3 linked regions of the Caenorhabditis elegans genome follow. The protein of the gene in region 1 interacts with the protein of each later gene in a biochemical or structural test. Each region holds a gene or a part of one and is shown in the gene's direction. Other genes may lie near its edges. The genes, in order: ric-8, gpa-16 and goa-1.

Region 1 (7,772 bases):
ATTAATTAAAAATCTCGAAAATCATCGATTTTCATTGTTTCTTTCAGTTTTTTCATTGATTTTTTGGTAAAATAATTGATAAATAAGTTTTTTTTTTCAGAAATGAACCGCTTGATGGTTATTTCGGCTCGTCGGATGGCGTCGGCGGCTCCAAAAACGAGCACCGGAATCGAGCACGCAGAGAAGGCCAGACAGGTCGCTGGTATGGCTTTCTGAAACTCTAAACTAGATAATAATCCGTCATAATATTGTATTGAAAAAGTTTAAGCCAAAAAATTCCTTAAAAATAGCTGAAAAAGTTGAATTTTTGCGGAAATGGCACGAAAATTCGATGTTTCCCGTAAAATCACTGAAATATTTGATTTTTTGCATTAGAACTTGTGAATAGCTAAATTTTTAGTTACAATTTCATTGAAAAAAGCTAGTTTCTGCAAAAAATGTCGATTTTTCGCCATTTTTCTTGTTAAAATCGATTTTAGCCGAAAATATTCTGATTAAACATTAAAAATGAGCAGAATATCGATTTTTGTCAGAAAAAAAAACTATGAAAAGTCTAATTTTCTGGAAAAATGTGCATTTTTCTAGAAAAAAAATCGAATTTCAGACAAGTTTTTCCCAATTTCCATCCAATTTCCACGCAAAATCTCTCAATTTTCAGGCGGAAAACCCGATTGGTCACTGTACAAATGCGACGAATACCTGAAATTCGACAAATACTCGTACGCTCACGCCGAAATCACCATGAACAAGGATCGTGTCGTTCAGCCGTCCTACAAGAAGGCCGACGTTCTTCCGAAAGTTCGAGCTTAATCTTTTTTCGACATTTTCTGTGTGAAAAATAGAGTTTTCGGTGGATTTTATCATTTTTTTTGTGTAGATTTTTCGTATAAATATGAGTTTTTACATAGATTTTTTAATTTTATTGATTTCATGGCTGTTTCCATGCTTAATTATCTAGTAACAAGTCGTTGAAAAACGAAAAAAACACAACGATGCTCCGATGTTCCGCACGTGCATGTTGTTTATCATTGCTCAAAAAATGGCGGTTTTTCGAATTTTTTTTGTGAATTTTTGCTGTTTTTCCGCCTAAAAAAATAAATTTTAACACAATAATAAGCCGAAGCACAATTTTTCTTTAATGCCTGCTCGTTCCCACGGTGATTGCCGCCACAAGGGATTACCTAGCAGCGAGTTTCCATGGTGATGGGCGTCGCTAGCTTTTGTTCAGAGAAGCAGATGTCATATTCATTGAATTTTTAATTTTTTCAATCAAAATCGCATTATTTTCGAGAGATTCGAGGGAAAAATCGAAAAAATTGCAAAATTTTGATCGAAATTGTTGATTTTCATTATTTTTCGCAATTACTTCAATGAAAAATCACTTCAAAATGACCAAAAATGGTGTTTCGATGCAAATAATAAGGGTTTTTTTTTCAGAATAAGCTAGTGAAAAAAAAAAAATCGAATTTTCACTATTTTTCTCCTCGTTTCTTTGATTCTGCCATAAATACGATTGGAGAGAGTAAAATCTGAAATTTTTCCGAAAACCAGTTAAAATTCTGTTATTTTTCAACAAAAACCGTAAAAAAAATCATTAAAAACCTCGGAAAAAAAGTAATTTTTCGCTTTTTTTAAAACAATTTTTAACGATGCTCCGAAATCCCGCATGCGCGTGCTGTTTAGCATCACAAAAATTCGCGATTTTTTGAATTGTTCGATCCTGAAATTGCATTTTTTCTCGTAAATAATTAATTTTTCATGATTTTCAGGCAATTCCATGTCTGAAGAACTACATTCCGACCTGATTGCGTCGATTTTCGGCGGGAAGCCTGCCAAAATCGAGGAATTCTTCTCGAAATGGAATTTCGCGAACGCCGCTGTCTCAAAATTCGATATGGCGAACTCGGCAAAGAATGTGAGAGATTTTAATTAATTAGTTTTTGCAATAAATTTCCAGTTTTCAGGAGCTCGGAGACCGGATTTGTGAGGTTATAGAAAACGGAGAGCTGACCCACGTGCTGCTGGAGACGATAAAGATTTTGAGTAGGGAAAAAGATGGATTGGAGGTAGGGAAATACTACGCAATTTTGAACTGAAAATTCGGATTTTTCAGCTAAAAAACTAAAAAACCCCAATTTTCCCAATTTCCAGGGCCTCCTGAACGACCCGCTCTGCGATAAAATCCTCGCCTTCGCGGAACTCTCGTCAAACGAAAATAACTCGAAAACTGTCCACAGTAAGGCAATTTTGAGCCTAAAAATTCTCGAATTTCCCGCCAAAAATCATAATTTCAGCACTAATGGAGGCGCAAAAATGTCTAATCAACACTTTGTTTCACTCACAACGAATGAGAGATCGATTTTAGTGAGTTTTCAATTGAAAAATCGATTTTAAAGTGATTTTTTGCATAGGAAAGTGTAAAAAATCCTTTAAAAGTGGAAAAAAAGGTTATTTTCCGAAAAAAAAATTAGAAAAAAATCTATAAAATCTGATTTTTAATTGAATTTCTAAGAAAATTAGCTAAAAATTAGAAAAAAAACACGATTTTTGCAGTGCAAACCCGAAAACTGGTGAAAATTTGCAATTTTTCCTCGGAGAATTCGAGGAAAACCGCCGAAAAACGTCGTCAATCGATTGGATTCGCCTTCTGAATCCGGTTCAAGCCGCCGAAATTTGGTATTTCTATCATCGGATCGCTTTTATTGCAACTGCATTGGGCAGGGAATTTCAGGTGCTCGAAACGACACGAAAAATTTGAATTTTTTGACACAAAAATGACCCGAATTTTGGAGAAAACTCGTGTAAAATCGGCAGAAAAATCGAGCGTTTTTTACTGGAAATACACATATTTTTCGAGTTTTGAGCGATGCCACGCGTTGCGGTTGCGTCGCGGTTCAATAAATTCAGATTTCTCAGAAAAAATTTGAATTTTCTGCCTGAAAAAACCGATTTTTGTGTGATTTTTATCGGCAAATTTAGTTTTTAAAAACTGTGGACCGCGCGTTGCGGTCGCGTCGCGGTTCGAAATTTTTTTTATTATTTCAGATTTTTTTTTACAAAAAATTTTGGAAAACATAAAAATTATAGGTTTTTAATCAATTTTTACAAAAAATAAATTTTTTTATTTCAATTTTTATGAGAAAATCTGCGAATATTCATGAAAATTTTTAGTTTTTTTGTGAAAAACTAATTTTTTTTTTGCAGAAAAACTGGGCCAACGACCCAAAAACCATTGATTCTCTGCTTTTGGCCGTCGAAATTTGCACAAATCGATCAGAAAACAGCACTCAGGATATAAATCGAGCTACCGAGGCGTTGAAGACGTTTTTCAACGTTTTTTGCCATTTTCACGGAGATGTGAAGGCTATTGATCATGTAAAAATTCAAAAAAAAAAAAAAAACTGAAATACCAAAATTTATACCTTAAAAATGCGATTTTTTGAATTTTTTAAAACTTTTTTTTTTTAAACTACAAAAATTCGAGTTTTTAACTTGAAATTCCAAATTAAAAAAAAAAATTCATATAAAAACTTCCAATTTTCGTACGATTAATCGGTGAAATTTTCCGGTTTTTCAGGAATTTTCATTGAAAAATATCAAAAATCCAAAAATGACGATTTTCTATAGAAATCGTCATAAAAAATGCAATTTTTTGAGATTTTTGAGGTTTTTTTAGATTAAAAAAAAGATAAAAATCATCGATTTTCGTTTTATTTTCATTTTTTTTAAATCATGAAATATCACTCTATTTTTATTTTCCAAAAAAACAAATTAATTTAATATATAATTATATATCATATTTTTTTTGAATTGAGCAGAAAAATTCTGAGAAACTTCCTGAAATTGGCCCAAAAAATAAAAAATAAATTAAAAATTTGCGAAAAAAAAATTTCTTTTTTTTTCGCTTTTTTCGCATTTTTTCTGAATTTTCGTTTTTTTTCAGCTTTAAATTCTCGTGAAAATTCTTCTAAATTGCGGTAAATTTTGTAAAATTATCTAGGAATGTCAGAATTTTTTAAAATTTTTTTAAAGCACATTTCTGAAAAAATTCATTTATTTTTCAAATTTTTAACCCCAAAAGTATCAAAAATTCCATAAAAAATGTCAAAGTTTTGCTACAAATTACGACGAAAAAAAGTTTTTTTTTTCAGAAAAACGCGGCAAAAACGTGCCAAATCCTTCGTGACGCAATTTGCTCCGATGTGCTCACCGATGACGTCGTTCAATCTGCAATTCATTGCTTATCAGTTCCACCACTACCAATGGTCCTCTCAGTACTTTGTGGAAAAAATTCAAAAAATAACGGAGGAGAAAACGAGGAGGAGAAATTCTTTGTTGAGGAACTTAGCAATATGCAGCTCACCGAGGCAATTCTCATGCATTTGGATAAGCAACTAACAAAAGTCGTTGCTCTACTGCTCAATGATGCTCCAAATCAGCAGCAGAATCCAATGTTGTCGGCAGAAGCTTCAACACTTACAGATCTTGTTGGACCATATTTTCAAGTTCTCGCTAGGCTTTGTACGGATAGTAAATATGTTCGCAGATATTGTAGAATTCGGGTTCGTGAAAAAAAAAACACTTGATAGGGAAATTTTGAAAATTTCACTGCAACTTTTTCCTCACGAGGGACGAGGAAAAGTGGTTTCTAGGCCATGGCCGAGGGGCCGACAAGTTTCAGCGGCCATTTATCTTGCTTTGTTTTCCGCCTGTTTTCTTTCGTTTTTCACTGATTTTTTTCGTTTTTTTCTTAAGAAAACTGATAAATAAATATTTTTTGCAGATGCTAAAACAATTTCCAAGTAAAAAAATTATGTATTCAGTGGGCAAGTAGCGGATGTGCGAAAATCTCGACTTTTTCACCAAAAAAGTTGAATTTTGGAAACCTCAAAACTTTTTCAGCGGTCTCGTTATGAAAATCAGGTAGTCTCAGCATTTAAGCAGCATATGTATTATGTTTCAGAAAAAGTTTAGGTTTTGTATTCCCGTAATCCATCATATTACAATGCCCACTTTCACCGCTGCTTGCCCACTGAATACATAAATTTTTTCACTTGGAAATTGTTTTAGCATCTGCAAAAAATATTTATTTTCAGTTTTAATAAGAAAAAACGGGAAAAAGCTGTGAAAAACAAAAGAAAACAGGCGGAAAACAAAGCAAGATAAATGGCCGCTGAAACTTGTCGGCCCCTCGGCCATGGCCTAGAAACCACTTTTCCTCGTCCCTCGTGAGGAAAAAGTTGCAGTGTTGATAGGGAAATTTTGAAAATTTGAAAAAAATTCAAGACATTTTATAAAAAATTTAAAAAAAAATCTTCCGCCTCTATGAAAAAAAAATGATCTGATTTAAAAAAACATTTTTCACAAAATACATCAGTAAAATTATTAAAGATGGGGTACCGAAATCCGGGAAATATTTTTAATTGACTCCAAATTTTTCCCTGATTCCGAATTTCGATGTGAAAAAATTCAAAAAAAATTCCCTGATTTTCTATTTGGGCTTCAAATCGCGCATTTCATTTGTGCACCCATGAACTTTTTTCAAATTCGCGCCGAAAAAAATTATCCCCGGAGCGCGTTTTGAAATTAATTGAGACAAACGCGCTCCAAGGATAATTTATTTCGGCGCGAATTTGAAAAAAGTTCATGGGTGCACAAATGAACTGCGCGATTTTAGGCTCTAATATAAAATCAAGGAAATTTTTTTGAATTTTTTCACTTAGATATTCGGAATCAGAGAGCAAATTTGGAGTCAATTAAAAAGGTATATAGAAAAATTTATTCATGTTCTGATTAAAAAATTTTTTTTTCACAAAATACACTAGTAAAATTATTAAAAAATTATATGAAAATGTCGTTTTTGAAAGCTTCAAAAAAAAATTCAAAATTTTCGAATTTTTGCAGGTAATTCCCCCACTGGTATCAGAAGAAGTGCAAAAACGGCCGGAGGAGAACAATACACTACGTGGCCGAATCGCTAGAATTATGATGCTTCCGTCGTCAACGAAAGATGTCGCCGCCGAGTTCCTTTTCATTATTTGCAAGAGATCAGGTACGAAATTAACTTAATTCAAAGTTTTTTTTTTAAGTTAGAGTACAGAAATCTGGAAAAAATTTCGAATGACTTCAAATATTCCCCTGATTCCAATAATATCTATGTGAAAAATTCAGAAAAAAAATCCCTGCGAATTTTGTGGCGCCAAAGACGCCTTGTGTGTCGATTTACGAGAATTGTGTATATTTACGAAATGTTTAATCTTTATCAGATGCTGACTTCCCCCTTTTTTCTACGAGTTTCCCTGATTTTCGGCTATTTTTAAGGTCTATTAAGGTATAAAAAAATTTGCAAAATGTTCGGTTTTCAGTCGGAAAAAGCTTCAATTTGGATGGATTTTCCGTCAAGGAGTGCAACCTAAGCAAATATTTCGTAAATATACACAAATCTCGTAAATCGACACAAGGCGTCTCTGGCGCCACAAAATTCGTGATTTCAATCAAGCTTGAAATATAAAATCAGGGAAATTTTTTTTTTGAATTTTTTCACAAAGATATTCGGAATCAATGTTGTGGCACCCGGAGGCGGCGACCGAGCCTTTAAGCCGTAACGAAGAGTGACTCGAGACCGAAGAAAGAGTATGTATAGTCTGGAAGGAGCGCTGTGGCAGTGCGGATGAATGCGGTGGTCTTGCTCCCGAGGAGACTTGAATATAGAGCTAGTGACAGAACAAATGTATAAATATATTAATTTATATAGTAATTATAAGAATTACAATACAAGAGGGAGAGAGGATAAAGTAGGGGGAAGGCCTGGAAACTCCTTGGTTATTGGAGTTTGTCGGGTTCTCTTTGGTTATCAGAGATTGTCGGGTTCTCCTTGGATATCGGAGCAAGTACATGAATAATAGTGAGGGGCAATTACAAAGGAAAATGGGGGATGCGTCGGGAGAGAAGTGCCACGCACGACCGTTCGGCACGAGCGCAGCATCAAGACTGAAGTGGTGGCGTCCAATGGCTGCGTATCCTGTCGTCGCTTGAGTCGTCGCGCAGCTAATGTCGCTGTGGGGCGCGAGTGTGACTCTTGTGAGAGAGCGTATGAGAGCGAGAGACGCAGAAGAAAGAATGACTTCTGCGGCTCTTTGTCATAGAAACCTCGTCTGAGAGATCTCTGAAGAGATCGTAGGACGAGACATTGTGGAATGGCTCCCCATTCCACAACAATCAAGGGAAAATTTTGAGCCAATTCAAAATATTTCCCAGATTTCGGTACTCCGCCTTCAAAAACGTCAGTTTTGGAAAATTTGTGAGGGTTTATCTTTAAAAAATTCCCTTTTTCCAGTGAATCGAATGATCAAATACCTTGGATTCGGCCACTCGGCCGGTCACCTCGCAAATTTGGGTCTTCTCGGACAAATCAATCAACCAAAACACGCGTCGGACAGTGAGGATAGTGAAACTGAGGATTATAATCAGATTAAGGATAGGTATGCTATACTTTTTGTGCATAAAATCCATGGAAAAAAAGAGATTTTCAGTGTAAATCCAGTGACCGGAGCAATTTATCCATCGGATCACGGAAGTGCACTTGCCGGAATGTCTGAAGAGCAAAAAGAGTATGAAGCGATGAAGCTGGTTGATGCTATGAATCAAATGATGGAAACTGGTGAGAAATTCGGAGAAAATTGCGCGAAAATTTGATGAAATTTGACATAAAATTCAGGTTTTTTGCAGCAGAAAAATCTGGAAAACAATTGGTGAAATCCCCCCAAAAAAAT
Region 2 (4,790 bases), on another chromosome or scaffold:
TACAAAAATAAGCATTTCTGAGCTCTTTTGTCGCAAAAGTTGATGAAAATCGCCAATTTTTCAATAAATATTGCACAGAAACCGTCAGATTTTTAGCATTTTTTCGGAAAAATGCACTAAAATTTTAGATTATTAGCAATTTTTCAGAAAAATGCTCTAAAATTTAAGATTTTTAGCCCTTTTTTTCAGAAAAATTCACTAAAATGCAAGATTTTAATCATTTTTTTGCAAGAAAAATGCTCTAAAATCTAAGTTTTTTAGCATTTTTTTCGGAAAAATGTTTGAAAATCCCTTCTTTAACGCCTTTTTCGCACTAAAAGATGCTCAAACTAGTTTAAACTTTCAGAGTTTTCCCATGCTTTTGCCCCCTCCACTTCACAAGAAACAAGAAACAAATACGGCGGGAAAAAAGCGAAAATTCGCGGAAAACATCATTTTCAATGCATTTTTCATCGCGAAAATTGCCGAATTTCATTAAAAATGGCCAATTTTTGTGCCAGTTTTCCCAATTAATCATGTATTTTCGATTAACTCGAAGCCCCTGCGCAGAGAAAAACACAAAAATGTTGCAATTGTTTGTGTAAAGCACTTCTCTGCGCGTCTGCGGCATCCGATATGACGAGCAATATATATCTTTTTTCTGGGAGCCTTTTATTTTAAATTTATCATTTTTCATTTAGTTTTTGAGAAAAAAATTCCCCCAAAATTAACCTAAAAGCCTTGAAAATGTGAATTTTGAGTGAAATTTGACGTTTTTCAGCGAAAAATTCTCAATTTTTAGTGCATTTTTGCCGGAAAAATGCTAATAATCTTGAATTTTAGTGCTTAGCGGAAAAAAAATTCAAAATGAAAATGTCGAATTTGAAATAAAATGCTTTAAAATTTAAGATTTTTAGCATTTTTCCCGAGAAAAGCTAAAAATCTTAATTTTTATAGCTTTTTTGTTGAAAAAATGCTAAAAATCTTAAATTTTAGATCATTTTATTTCAAATTCGACATTTTCATTTTGTATTTAAGAAAAAATAACCTCAAAGTCTGAAAAATATCGAATTTTGAGTGAAATTTGACATTTTTCAGCGAAAAATTCTCATTTTTCCGGAAAAAATGCTAAAAATCTTGAATTTTAGTGCATTTTTCCAGAAAAAATGCTAAAAATCTCAATTTTTAGTGCATTTTCCCGGAAAAATGCTAAAAATCTTAAATTTTAGAGCATTTTCCAGAAAAAATGCTTAAAATCTTGAATTTCAGAGCATTCTTAATGAAAAATGCTAAAAATCTTAAATTTTAGAGCATTTTTCTCGAAAAAATGCTTAAAATCTTGAATTTCAGAGCATTTTTTTCGGAAAAATGCTAAAAATCTCAATTTTTAGTGCATTTTTCTGAAAAAATACTAAAAATCTTGAATTTTTAGAGCATTTTCGCTGAAAAATAATAAAAATTTTAAATTTTAGAGCATTTTTCCGAAAAAAAAAACGCTAAAAATCTTGTAATAACTGACAAATTTCGAATTTTGAGTAAAATGGCATGTTTTTTGAGGTTTTTCCTTGAAATTTGACGTTTTTCACCTAAAAATTCGACAAAAATGAGCATTTCTGAGCTCTTATATTGCAAAAATTGACAAAAATCGTCAATTTTTCAATAAAAATTGCCCAAAAACCTTAAAATATTCTGAAAAAAGCCGAAAAAACCCCATTTTTTAGCCATTTTCTACAGAATTTTACATTTTTCTCAACTTTCTTCACCTAAAATCGCCGATATTATTCACATAAAATTCCCTTTTTTTTCAGCGCAATGGGGTGTATTATGAGCCAGGAGGATGAAGCAGCGAAACGAAGATCCAAGAAGATTGATCGATTGGTAAAAATTGGGGATTTTTCGTTGAAAAAACTCGATTTTTTGTGAAAAAATATAGAAAAATCATCAAAACTGCTTCAAAAACCGAAAAATTTCACTAAAAACTAGAATTTTTGCTCGAAAACCTCAAAAAATCGCAAAATTTGCAGTGAAAACTAGATTTTTATTTTTAAAAAATTCAAAAAGTTCATAAAAATCAATAAAAAAATCGGATTTTTTTTCTTAAAAAATCTGGAAAACTGTCTAAAAATCTACTCAAAATCAGTTTTTTTTGTAGAAAATCTGAAAAATAGTCTAAAAAATTAATAAAAATCGATTTTTTGGGAGAAAATTTGAAAAATTACGAAAAAAATCAATAAAAAATCGGTTTTTTGGGAAAAACCCTGAAAAATTGTCTAAAAATCTATAAAAAATTGGATTTTTTAAATAGAAAATCTGAAAAACTGCCAAAAAATCAACAAAAAATCGATTTTTGTGTGAGAAAACCTGAAAAATTATCAAAAAATTGGTTTTTATCTAGAAAATCTGAAAAATTACCTAAAAAGCAATAAAAAATCGGTTTTTTTTCTGGAAAAACTGTAAAATAGCCTAAAAATCAATTTAAAAAAAGTTTTTTTTTTTGTAGAAAACCTGAAAAATTATCAATAAAAACCACGAAAAACAGTTTTTCGCTTATAAAAAGTCCAAAAATCCCAAAATTTGCATTAAAAACTAGATTTTTATTTCAAAAAAATTCAAAAATTGCCTGAAAATCAATAAAATTGTTGTTTTTTTTTGGAAAAAAAAACCCTGAAAAATTGGCTAAAAATCCCAAATTTTTTTGCAGCTCAAAGAAGACGGCGAGAACTCAATGCGAACCATCAAGCTTCTGCTCCTGGGAGCCGGCGAGTCTGGAAAATCGACGATTTTAAAGCAGATGCGTATCATTCACGACGTCGGATATACGACTGAAGAGAGAAAAGTGTTCAGAGGCGTCGTTTATGGAAATATTATTTTGGTCAGTGCTCCGATGCACTGAAAAATGACAGGAAATTGGCAATTTTGACCAAAATTCGTGGATTTTAACCAAAAAATCCGTTAATTTTAATCAAAAATCGGCTAATTTTAGCCAAAAAATTCGCTATTTTAACCAAAAAATCCGTTGATTTTAGTCAAAAAATTCGCTATTTTTAGCCAAAAAATCGCTATTTTTAGCCAAAAAATCCGTTAATTTTAGCCAAAAATTTCGCTATTTTTAGCCAAAAAATCCGTTAATTTTAGGCAAAAAATCCGTTAATTTTAGTCAAAAAATCCGCTATTTTAACCAAAAAATCCGCTATTTTAACCAAAAAATCCGTTAATTTTAGCCAAAAAATTCGCTATTTTTAGCCAAAAAATCCGTTAATTTTAGCCAAAAAATTCGCTATTTTTAGCCAAAAAATCCGTTAATTTTAGCCAAAAAATTCGCTATTTTTAGCCAAAAAATCCGTTAATTTTAGCCAAAAAATTCGCTATTTTTAGCCAAAAAATTCGCTATTTTTAGCCAAAAAATCCGTTAATTTTAGCCAAAAAATTCGCTATTTTTAGCCAAAAAATTCACCAATTTTCGTTTAAGATTCTCCAATTTTTGACAAAAAAATTCACCGAATTTGCTCAAAATTCTCCCTTTTTTGGCTAAAAAATGCATAAATTACACAATTAAACCAAAAATTACCCAATTTCGCCCAAAAACTCTAATTTTTACCAAAAATTCTCCTATTTTTTGTTGAAAATTCACCAATTTTTTTGCCAAATTTTAACAGAAAAATCTATAAAATATCAGGCGAAAATAACCTAATTTTGGTCAAAAATTCACCGATTTTTGTTCAAAATTCTTCAATTTTACCCAATATCCACCAAATTTTAACCAAAAAAGTCTAAAAAATTATTCAAAAAATCCCTAATTTTGGCCCAAAATTCTCCATTTTTACTCAAAAATTCTCTCTTTTTAACCAAAAAATCTAGAATATTAGGTGAAAAATGCCTAATTTTGGCTAAAAATTCACCGATTTTTGACAAAAAAAACCTCCAATTTCAGCTTAAAACTCTCTGATTTTTACCAAAAAAATCTAAAATATTAGGCGAAAAATCACTAATTTCGGCTAAAAAATCACCAATTTTTGACAAAAGAAACTCCAATTCCAACAAAAAATTCACAAAATTTACTCAAAAATTGTCTGTTTTTCACAAAAAAAAAACCTACAATATTAGGAGAAAATTCACAAATTTTGGCCAAAAAATCCCTAATTTTGGCCGAAAAATTTGCCAATTTTGTTCAAAATTCTCCAATTTTCGACTAAAAAAACCTGCCATATTCAGCAAAAAGTTCACCAAATTTACTCAAAAATTCAAAAAAAATCTAGAATATTAGGCGAAAAATCCCTAATTTTGTCCAAAAATTCACCGATTTTTGACAAAAAAAACTCTAATTTCAGCAGAAACTTCACCAAATCATAGCCAAAAATTCACTGTTTTTTACCAAAAAAATAGAATATTAAGAGAAAATCCCTAAATTTGTCCAAAAAATTAAACAAATTATAGCCAAAAATGCTCTGTTTTTTACCAAAAATTCTAGAATATTAGGTAAAAAATCCCTAATTTTTCCCAAAAAATTCACCGAATTTACTCCAAAATGCTCTGTTTTTGACAAAAAAAAACTCTAATTCCAGCACAAAATTTACCAAATTATAGCCAAAAATGCTCTTTTTTTTCCAAAAAAAATCTAAAATATTAGGCGAAAAATCCCTAATTTTGTCCAAAAATTCACCGATTTTTGACAAAAAAAACTCTAATTTCAGCAGAAACTTCACCAAATCATAGCCAAAAATTCACTGTTTTTTACCAAAAAAATAGAATATTAAGAGAAAATCCCTAAATTTGTCCAAAAAATTAAACAAATTATAGCCAAAAATGCTCTG
Region 3 (6,853 bases), on another chromosome or scaffold:
CCCGCCATATTTACTGGCTCAAACCACATTGGAACGATTTTATGAGAATTGTGAACACTTTCATGAATGAGCTTCCCATAAGGTTAAATTCCAAACTAATAGTAAAATATTTCAAGTTAAGGTTTTATTTCTGCGTAATCCACTATTTTTATCTTTTCTTGATTTTCCCTTTCATACTTTCACTCATTGTTTATTATTCGTGTCCCCTCGTCTCCGTTCTTCGACTGGAAAATCTGTAAGAGGGTCCAGCTGTGGTCTCCGGTGTACGGCACTCAACATGTCTCCTTGTGTATCGCTGCCAGTGCTGTCTATGCATTTATTATGAAAATAAAACAATTAGGCACATGGAAAAAGGCTTTATGTTCCTATAGCTTTTGGTTCACGGAGACCTAGTCTACGGCGCTGTTCGTCGATTGAAACTTAAATTTTAAATAGTAGTTTTCGGCATCATAAAGTCGCTATTAAGGCTGTCAGACAATTTAAGTTTTTATGCAATATTTTAAGATTTTAACTCAAACGCCGCCTGTGATCAGATAACTCCGACTACTAGAATATCTGCATGGTTCTGATCCTCATCATGATTTAAAATTCGAATCGACACGCAACGCAAGTAGCCGCCGACCCTCGTCTTCACTGTCGCTGCCCCCTGAACGATGGGGCTCTCCTGTTTCGGCTACTGGCTGCCCCTGGCTACTACTACCCCTTTTCTGCTATGCCCATGACCTTCTTCTTCTCCTCGCCCTCGCTTTTCTCTCTATTTTCCTTCTCCAACCCCACCATCCTGCTCGCCGTCGTCGTCGCAGTTGCTCCCCCATTTTTTTGCGCCACGCAAAAAAAAAAGAAAAAGAAGGACGACGACGACAACGAAGAAAGAGAAGAAGCAGAAGCAGTGAAAACGGAAAAATCGAAGACGTTGTCGTCTATTTTTTTGCTTCTGTTCTTTACAAATTATCTATTTTCTAACCTTTTTGTGGAGAACGTTGACCCGGCCGGAAGCATGTAGTAAAATTTCTTTTTGGTTGATTTTGCAAAACATGTTTATCCTCGATTAGCTGATTTTCATTTCGATTTCAGATTAAACCAATTGATTCTAAAATAGAAAACTGAATGAACAATCTCTGATCATTCTTGAAATATAACTAATTTAGTTCATCTGCAAGTTTAACAGTTAGTACATTTTTCTGTCGTAGATCAAGAAAAATTTCACCTTCGAATTTAGTACTCAAACATTGCAGGGATTCGAACATGCAAACGTTTTAACAATTTCCCCACTGACGCTGCTCCAAAGAAATCTGAGAGAACGTCTGATTTGAAAAAATGTTTGCGCAAAAATTAGAAAGGCCCTGTTTAGAGTATTGTAGGTTGCATATTTCTACCACTAAAATAAATTAATGAAAAAGTAAGAAAATTCAATAAAAATTAGTCGCCTTGACGACGTGCACCCTCTATTTTCCTCATTCGTCATTTTTGTCATCTCCTCTCATCTCATCTATATTCTGCCCTCGATCCCTCATCCATCCATTTCTTCATTCTCCATCTCACTGTGTCCCTTTTTTTCGCTCGATTGCTTTTTCTTTTCCTTATTTTTTAACCCGCTATAACTTACTTCGATTCTAATTTTTTCAATTTATTTTCAGCGCTGAGCTGCACCACATACAGTGAGTGAGTAGAGGATATCAAGTGGAGACCGCTACCGGGGCATAGGGTCCACCGTTCATCAACTCTAGCGCCATGGGTTGTACCATGTCACAGGAAGAGCGTGCCGCTCTTGAAAGATCACGAATGATTGAGAAAAATCTTAAAGAAGACGGCATGCAAGCGGCAAAAGATATCAAACTGCTGCTACTTGGTGCAGGAGAATCAGGAAAATCGACTATTGTAAAACAGATGAAGTGAGATTTTTTTAAATTTCTAAATAACAAATTAAAACATATATAAACGAAAATGGTAGAAATAAATGGTGAAAAACTCAGAATTTATCATCCGAAATTGTCCCATAGAACGTCCGAATATTTCGTTTGATCGATTTGAATTATTAAAAATTAAATTTAATTAAAAAGTAAATAAATCACTAGAGACTGCTATTAATTTTTTTTTCGTATTCAAAATTTGAAAAGTAAGTTCAACTCTCTAATAGTTTAAATTTGAAACACGCCTTTACAAATTTTCACATTTTAATGTTTTTTTTTCAGAATTATTCACGAATCGGGATTCACAGCAGAAGACTACAAACAGTACAAGCCGGTTGTCTACAGTAACACGGTTCAATCATTGGTCGCTATTTTGCGAGCCATGAGCAACTTAGGCGTTTCATTTGGTTCGGCTGACAGAGAGGTGAGTATTATGACAATTTTTCTGCAAAAAAATCGAAATTATTTAAAAATGAGGCACGAAATTTTCAAGTGATCCCTTAATGGAAAAAATTAATTTCGGTCCATTAGCTGCTAATGATTAGCACGACAAAAACGTTACTTCAAAATAAAACTTATTTTTCTGAAATTTACTTGCGATTGTGATCTATAGATAGAACATAAACATTATTCAATTAAAAATGTTTCCCGTGTTCTGAAGAGTAATTCGAAATATTTGGAAAATAACGAATAAAAAGATACGAAAAACGAAGAGCATGAGAATAAATGACATAATCTGTTGTATTCATTGGCTCGGTATCTTTTTCTCTCTCTCTCTCTTACATTCTGCAACTCTTATTGCCTCTCGTTGCACTCAATGCATCCCGCTACCACACCACCGTCCCATTCCAATTCCCTTGTGAGTTTCGATGCGCGACGCGCCACCGACAAACTCGTAGACTCGACCTAGTATTCCAAAAATATATGTTCGAGGCAGGAATTTTGAATTGGGATTTGGAAGGGATTCTAGAATGTTGGAAAATCTTTGGGAACACATTTTCGATTGATGTGGCAAATCATCAGAAAAAAATGTTCCCAACGTTTTGGAGAAGATTTTACATCATTCAGACGTCAAATGTTTTGTTATTGCGTCACAAATGCAATTCCCGGTTTTTATACGATGAATTTGTGTTCAATGCAAGAAGGTGTGCGCCTTTAAAGAGTACTGTAATGTTTAATTTTCGTTGCAGCCAAATTTTTAATCGATTTTTCATAGTTATTCAATAAAAACGTATTCATTTATTTTAAAAATTAATAAATAACAATCAAATATTTACGAATTAACTTTAACAAATCGTAAGAATAAATATAAACATATTTTAGCATTCAACAAAAATTTGTCGTGTCGAAAACGTAAAAAAGTTTTTGATGTGAAGATCGAACATTTATCATTCAATTTTATATATATCCTTAATCTTAACAAGACGTGACTATGCATGTCACCGAATATAAAGTAATTTGAGATAATTGAAATAAAATGACCATTTTGAGACCTTTGGACAAACCATTGGAAGAGAGCCAAGGATCCAATTTCAATTTTGTGAGAAAATTGGGAAAATGATGTACATGACATGCTGTGAATTATTCAATTTTCATCAGCGAATAAAGTTATCGAGAACTAAAATCAAAGTTTTTTGTTTCAGGTAGATGCAAAATTAGTGATGGATGTGGTGGCACGAATGGAGGACACAGAGCCATTCTCAGAAGAATTGCTCAGTTCAATGAAACGGTTGTGGGGAGACGCAGGTGTACAGGATTGTTTCTCAAGGAGTAACGAGTATCAATTGAATGATTCAGCCAAATAGTAAGTTTAATTCAAAATTTTGAAAAATTATTTCAAGTAACTATTATCTCCATAACAACCAAAGTGGTTTTTTTCATAAATTGAGAAGAGTTTCCTAAATTTCGAATCAATATGTTACATGTCAAGCTCATTTTCAATATTACCAAATTTAAAATTTCAAGAAATTTCGCAGTTTATAGAATTTATTAATAACCATTTTTTCAGTTTCCTTGACGACCTGGAAAGGTTAGGAGAGGCAATATATCAACCAACTGAGCAAGATATTCTCCGAACTCGTGTCAAAACAACTGGTATTGTTGAAGTTCACTTCACATTCAAAAATCTCAATTTCAAGTGAGTTTTCTTGATAAAAAAATAATATTTAATAATGAATATTTACAGATTGTTCGATGTGGGAGGTCAAAGATCAGAAAGGAAGAAGTGGATTCATTGTTTCGAAGATGTTACTGCTATTATTTTCTGTGTTGCCATGTCAGAGTATGATCAAGTGTTGCACGAAGATGAGACAACAGTGAGAAATTGATATTTTAATATTTTAGAAGCTTTTTTGTTGAAAAAGACAGACAAAATTTAAAATTAGAAAATATCGTTTAGAGACTTTATGTTTTTTAAACGATTTTCCAATCATGACTTGGTCGTTCGAGTCGACTTTTACAATAATAAAAATAATGTTCTTCTTCTAATTTTTCTAACGAAAATGCAACTTCTGACCGACAATATATTTGCCAAAATAAAAGAAACATGATAATTTAAAAATTACTCGTTTTTTTAAATTATATTCTATTATTCATTCTATTATTCATTATTCATTATTATTCATTATTGTTCCTTATTTCATATTTTCAGAACCGAATGCACGAATCGCTGAAGCTGTTCGATTCGATCTGTAATAACAAATGGTTCACAGATACATCGATTATTCTGTTCCTGAACAAGAAGGATCTGTTTGAAGAGAAAATCAAGAAAAGCCCGTTAACGATCTGCTTCCCAGAATATTCAGGTAAAATTTAATTGAATTTCCAATAAATGTTTTAATTTCTTAATCCCTGTAGGACGACAAGACTACCACGAGGCATCTGCGTATATTCAAGCACAATTTGAGGCTAAAAACAAATCAGCGAATAAGGTAAGAAAAAAAAGTCTAAAAATCAATGAAATCAGAGAAGCCTATGGGGTTCCTGTTCCACGAAAAGTATAAATTGTTTTTCTAGAATAATATTTTTTATAATTTTTAATATCTAGTTAATTTTGGAAATTTTTTGAAGTGTGAAACATTTATAAAATTTAATTTTTTTTAAGTAAACACGAATATTCAATTGTTTTGTTAATCTGTCACAGAAAATGATAACCAGAAAAATCTCTGAATCGTATTCAATTAAGTAATTACAACCAAAATTTGAGATTTTTACTATCTCGACATTTTCTCCGATATTGCGGTTACTGTAGTTTCATATTTGAATAGGTAGTTAAAGTTGAGTGTTGAGGTAATAATTTTAATTCATTATTTCATTTAATTTGTTTTCTTTTGAAATAATATTCTTATTTGCAGGAAATCTATTGCCACATGACATGTGCCACAGACACAACTAACATTCAATTTGTGTTTGACGCTGTCACCGATGTGATTATTGCCAATAATCTTCGTGGATGCGGCTTGTATTAAGCTGTCGTCTTCGCCGCCCTCTTCTACCATTCTGTGTGTATCTTTGCTTACTTTTCCCAAATTTTTAAAGATTCGTTATTTTTCTCATCCCCCGAGTATGCATCTATAATTTGAGAGCTTTACATGTACATTATGGTTGCAACTGTTTTTATTTTTTGGAAAAAGTTGCAATTTCAGATGTATATGGGCTTTTTTTTAACCTCTGATTCATTCATAATAGTCTCACCGCCCTTCTTTTTCTCAACTAGGATCCCTAATTTTTCTGTCACAAAAATAACACATAAAACTCACAATTATTTATTTTTTCCTTTTTTCTTATTTATTATATATTGTCATTATTCACGCCACATCCCCCGCCCTTCTCACTCCCGTGTAGCCTTATCGCTATTTGAAAACAAGAAAACTTTAAAAATCTAAATTCAGTTGGAATTCGTCCCGTTCCGCCACACACCCCCTAAAGGTCTCTTCACCCCGAATTATAAAGCTTTGCCCCTTTTTTCTTTCTTTTCTCCCATTTTTCAACACACCTAGTCACTGTTAACAGTTAAATAATGGCAGCTTTTGTCTATGTTTAAAGATTTTATTTTTAATTTTTGGTATTTTTCTATTTCTACTCTTCCCCTCTCATCCATTTTCCCTCCTTTTCCTAAAACCACACTTCCAAACTCATTTTTCTCGCTGTTTTCCTCTCCCTATTTTTTCTTTTACTTTTTCATTTTTCCATCTTTTTTCTTTAAAATCGTCTCGCTTTTTGTCGGTGAGCACGATGGTGTGCAGTAGACGATATTTTCCGCATTGGTTTATTGTCGACTGCACCCACTCATTGATATCTTATTTGATATAAACGACATCCTCAACTAGTTTTCGTACAAATTCAGTTTGGTGGATACAAAAGTACAGTGATTTAGTTTGCATGGGAAATTGCATATGGGACTACCGTACATATGTCTAGATAAAAAACCAATATTTTTAAAACTCGATAAAATTTAAATTTCCCTGAACTCCTTTTTGAATAACCACCAAGAAGTTTAAACCTCGCGCGCGAATTTAAAATTTAATTGTTATTTTGAATTATTAGCATGGTTTAAAACAATTTCCCCATCATTACCAAGATTTAAAAAAATCAAAACCTATTGTTATAACATCAAAAGTGGGAAACCCCAAAAATAGTCTTCAGATAATGATTTTCTCAAGATAAATGACCCGGAAGTGAGTGTTACTAAAGCGAAAAACCTTCCAAATGTCAAGTTTCATTAAATTTTACAACAATCATCTAAAAATGTGTCCTTTTTGTCACACAATTGTGTTCATTTTCCATCAGCTTTTCCCTCCTCCTCCCACTATGTGATAAACTTTCACTTTTTCTGTTCATTTGCCAAAAAAAAGAGAATATCTCATACACTTTCCTATCTTCTCTTTTAATTGAACTATTATTCTATTTCATGAGAAATATGAGATTATGTCATTCAATTATTT

The links.
Region 2: of the proteins of ric-8 (region 1) and gpa-16, one has a biochemical effect on the other in vitro, tested with the Caenorhabditis elegans proteins (one study listed by BioGRID).
Region 3: of the proteins of ric-8 (region 1) and goa-1, one has a biochemical effect on the other in vitro, tested with the Caenorhabditis elegans proteins (2 studies listed by BioGRID).

The regions. Positions count from the first base shown.
Region 1 is NC_003282.8:2,641,210-2,648,981, forward strand, and holds the start of ric-8 (Chaperone ric-8), read left to right. Parts: upstream 1-1,769; 5' UTR 1,770-1,777; coding exon 1,778-1,915; intron 1,916-1,964; coding exon 1,965-2,066; intron 2,067-2,151; coding exon 2,152-2,236; coding exon of another isoform or gene 2,237-2,294; coding exon 2,295-2,364; intron 2,365-2,553; coding exon 2,554-2,731; coding exon of another isoform or gene 2,732-2,758; intron 2,759-3,204; coding exon 3,205-3,375; intron 3,376-4,151; coding exon 4,152-4,562; intron 4,563-5,904; coding exon 5,905-6,052; intron 6,053-7,336; coding exon 7,337-7,481; intron 7,482-7,532; coding exon 7,533-7,660; intron 7,661-7,772. Other genes in the region: nduv-3 (NADH dehydrogenase [ubiquinone] flavoprotein 3, mitochondrial), read left to right, coding at 103-202, 659-810. UniProt on the Caenorhabditis elegans protein: Chaperone that specifically binds and folds some, but not all, nascent G alpha proteins prior to G protein heterotrimer formation, promoting their stability and activity.
Region 2 is NC_003279.8:895,499-900,288, forward strand, and holds the start of gpa-16 (Guanine nucleotide-binding protein alpha-16 subunit), read left to right. Parts: upstream 1-1,787; 5' UTR 1,788-1,791; coding exon 1,792-1,857; intron 1,858-2,680; coding exon 2,681-2,851; intron 2,852-4,790. UniProt on the Caenorhabditis elegans protein: Guanine nucleotide-binding proteins (G proteins) are involved as modulators or transducers in various transmembrane signaling systems. In the 1-cell embryo, probably together with goa-1, controls nuclear rotation and spindle elongation during mitosis.
Region 3 is NC_003279.8:7,520,479-7,527,331, forward strand, and holds goa-1 (Guanine nucleotide-binding protein G(o) subunit alpha), read left to right. Parts: upstream 1-1,637; 5' UTR 1,638-1,731; coding exon 1,732-1,892; intron 1,893-2,192; coding exon 2,193-2,334; intron 2,335-3,553; coding exon 3,554-3,714; intron 3,715-3,918; coding exon 3,919-4,047; intron 4,048-4,095; coding exon 4,096-4,225; intron 4,226-4,560; coding exon 4,561-4,714; intron 4,715-4,766; coding exon 4,767-4,840; intron 4,841-5,263; coding exon 5,264-5,377; 3' UTR 5,378-6,234; downstream 6,235-6,853. Other genes in the region: Zinc metalloproteinase nas-36, read left to right, coding at 6,829-6,853. UniProt on the Caenorhabditis elegans protein: Guanine nucleotide-binding proteins (G proteins) are involved as modulators or transducers in various transmembrane signaling systems. In the 1-cell embryo, probably together with gpa-16, controls nuclear rotation and spindle elongation during mitosis.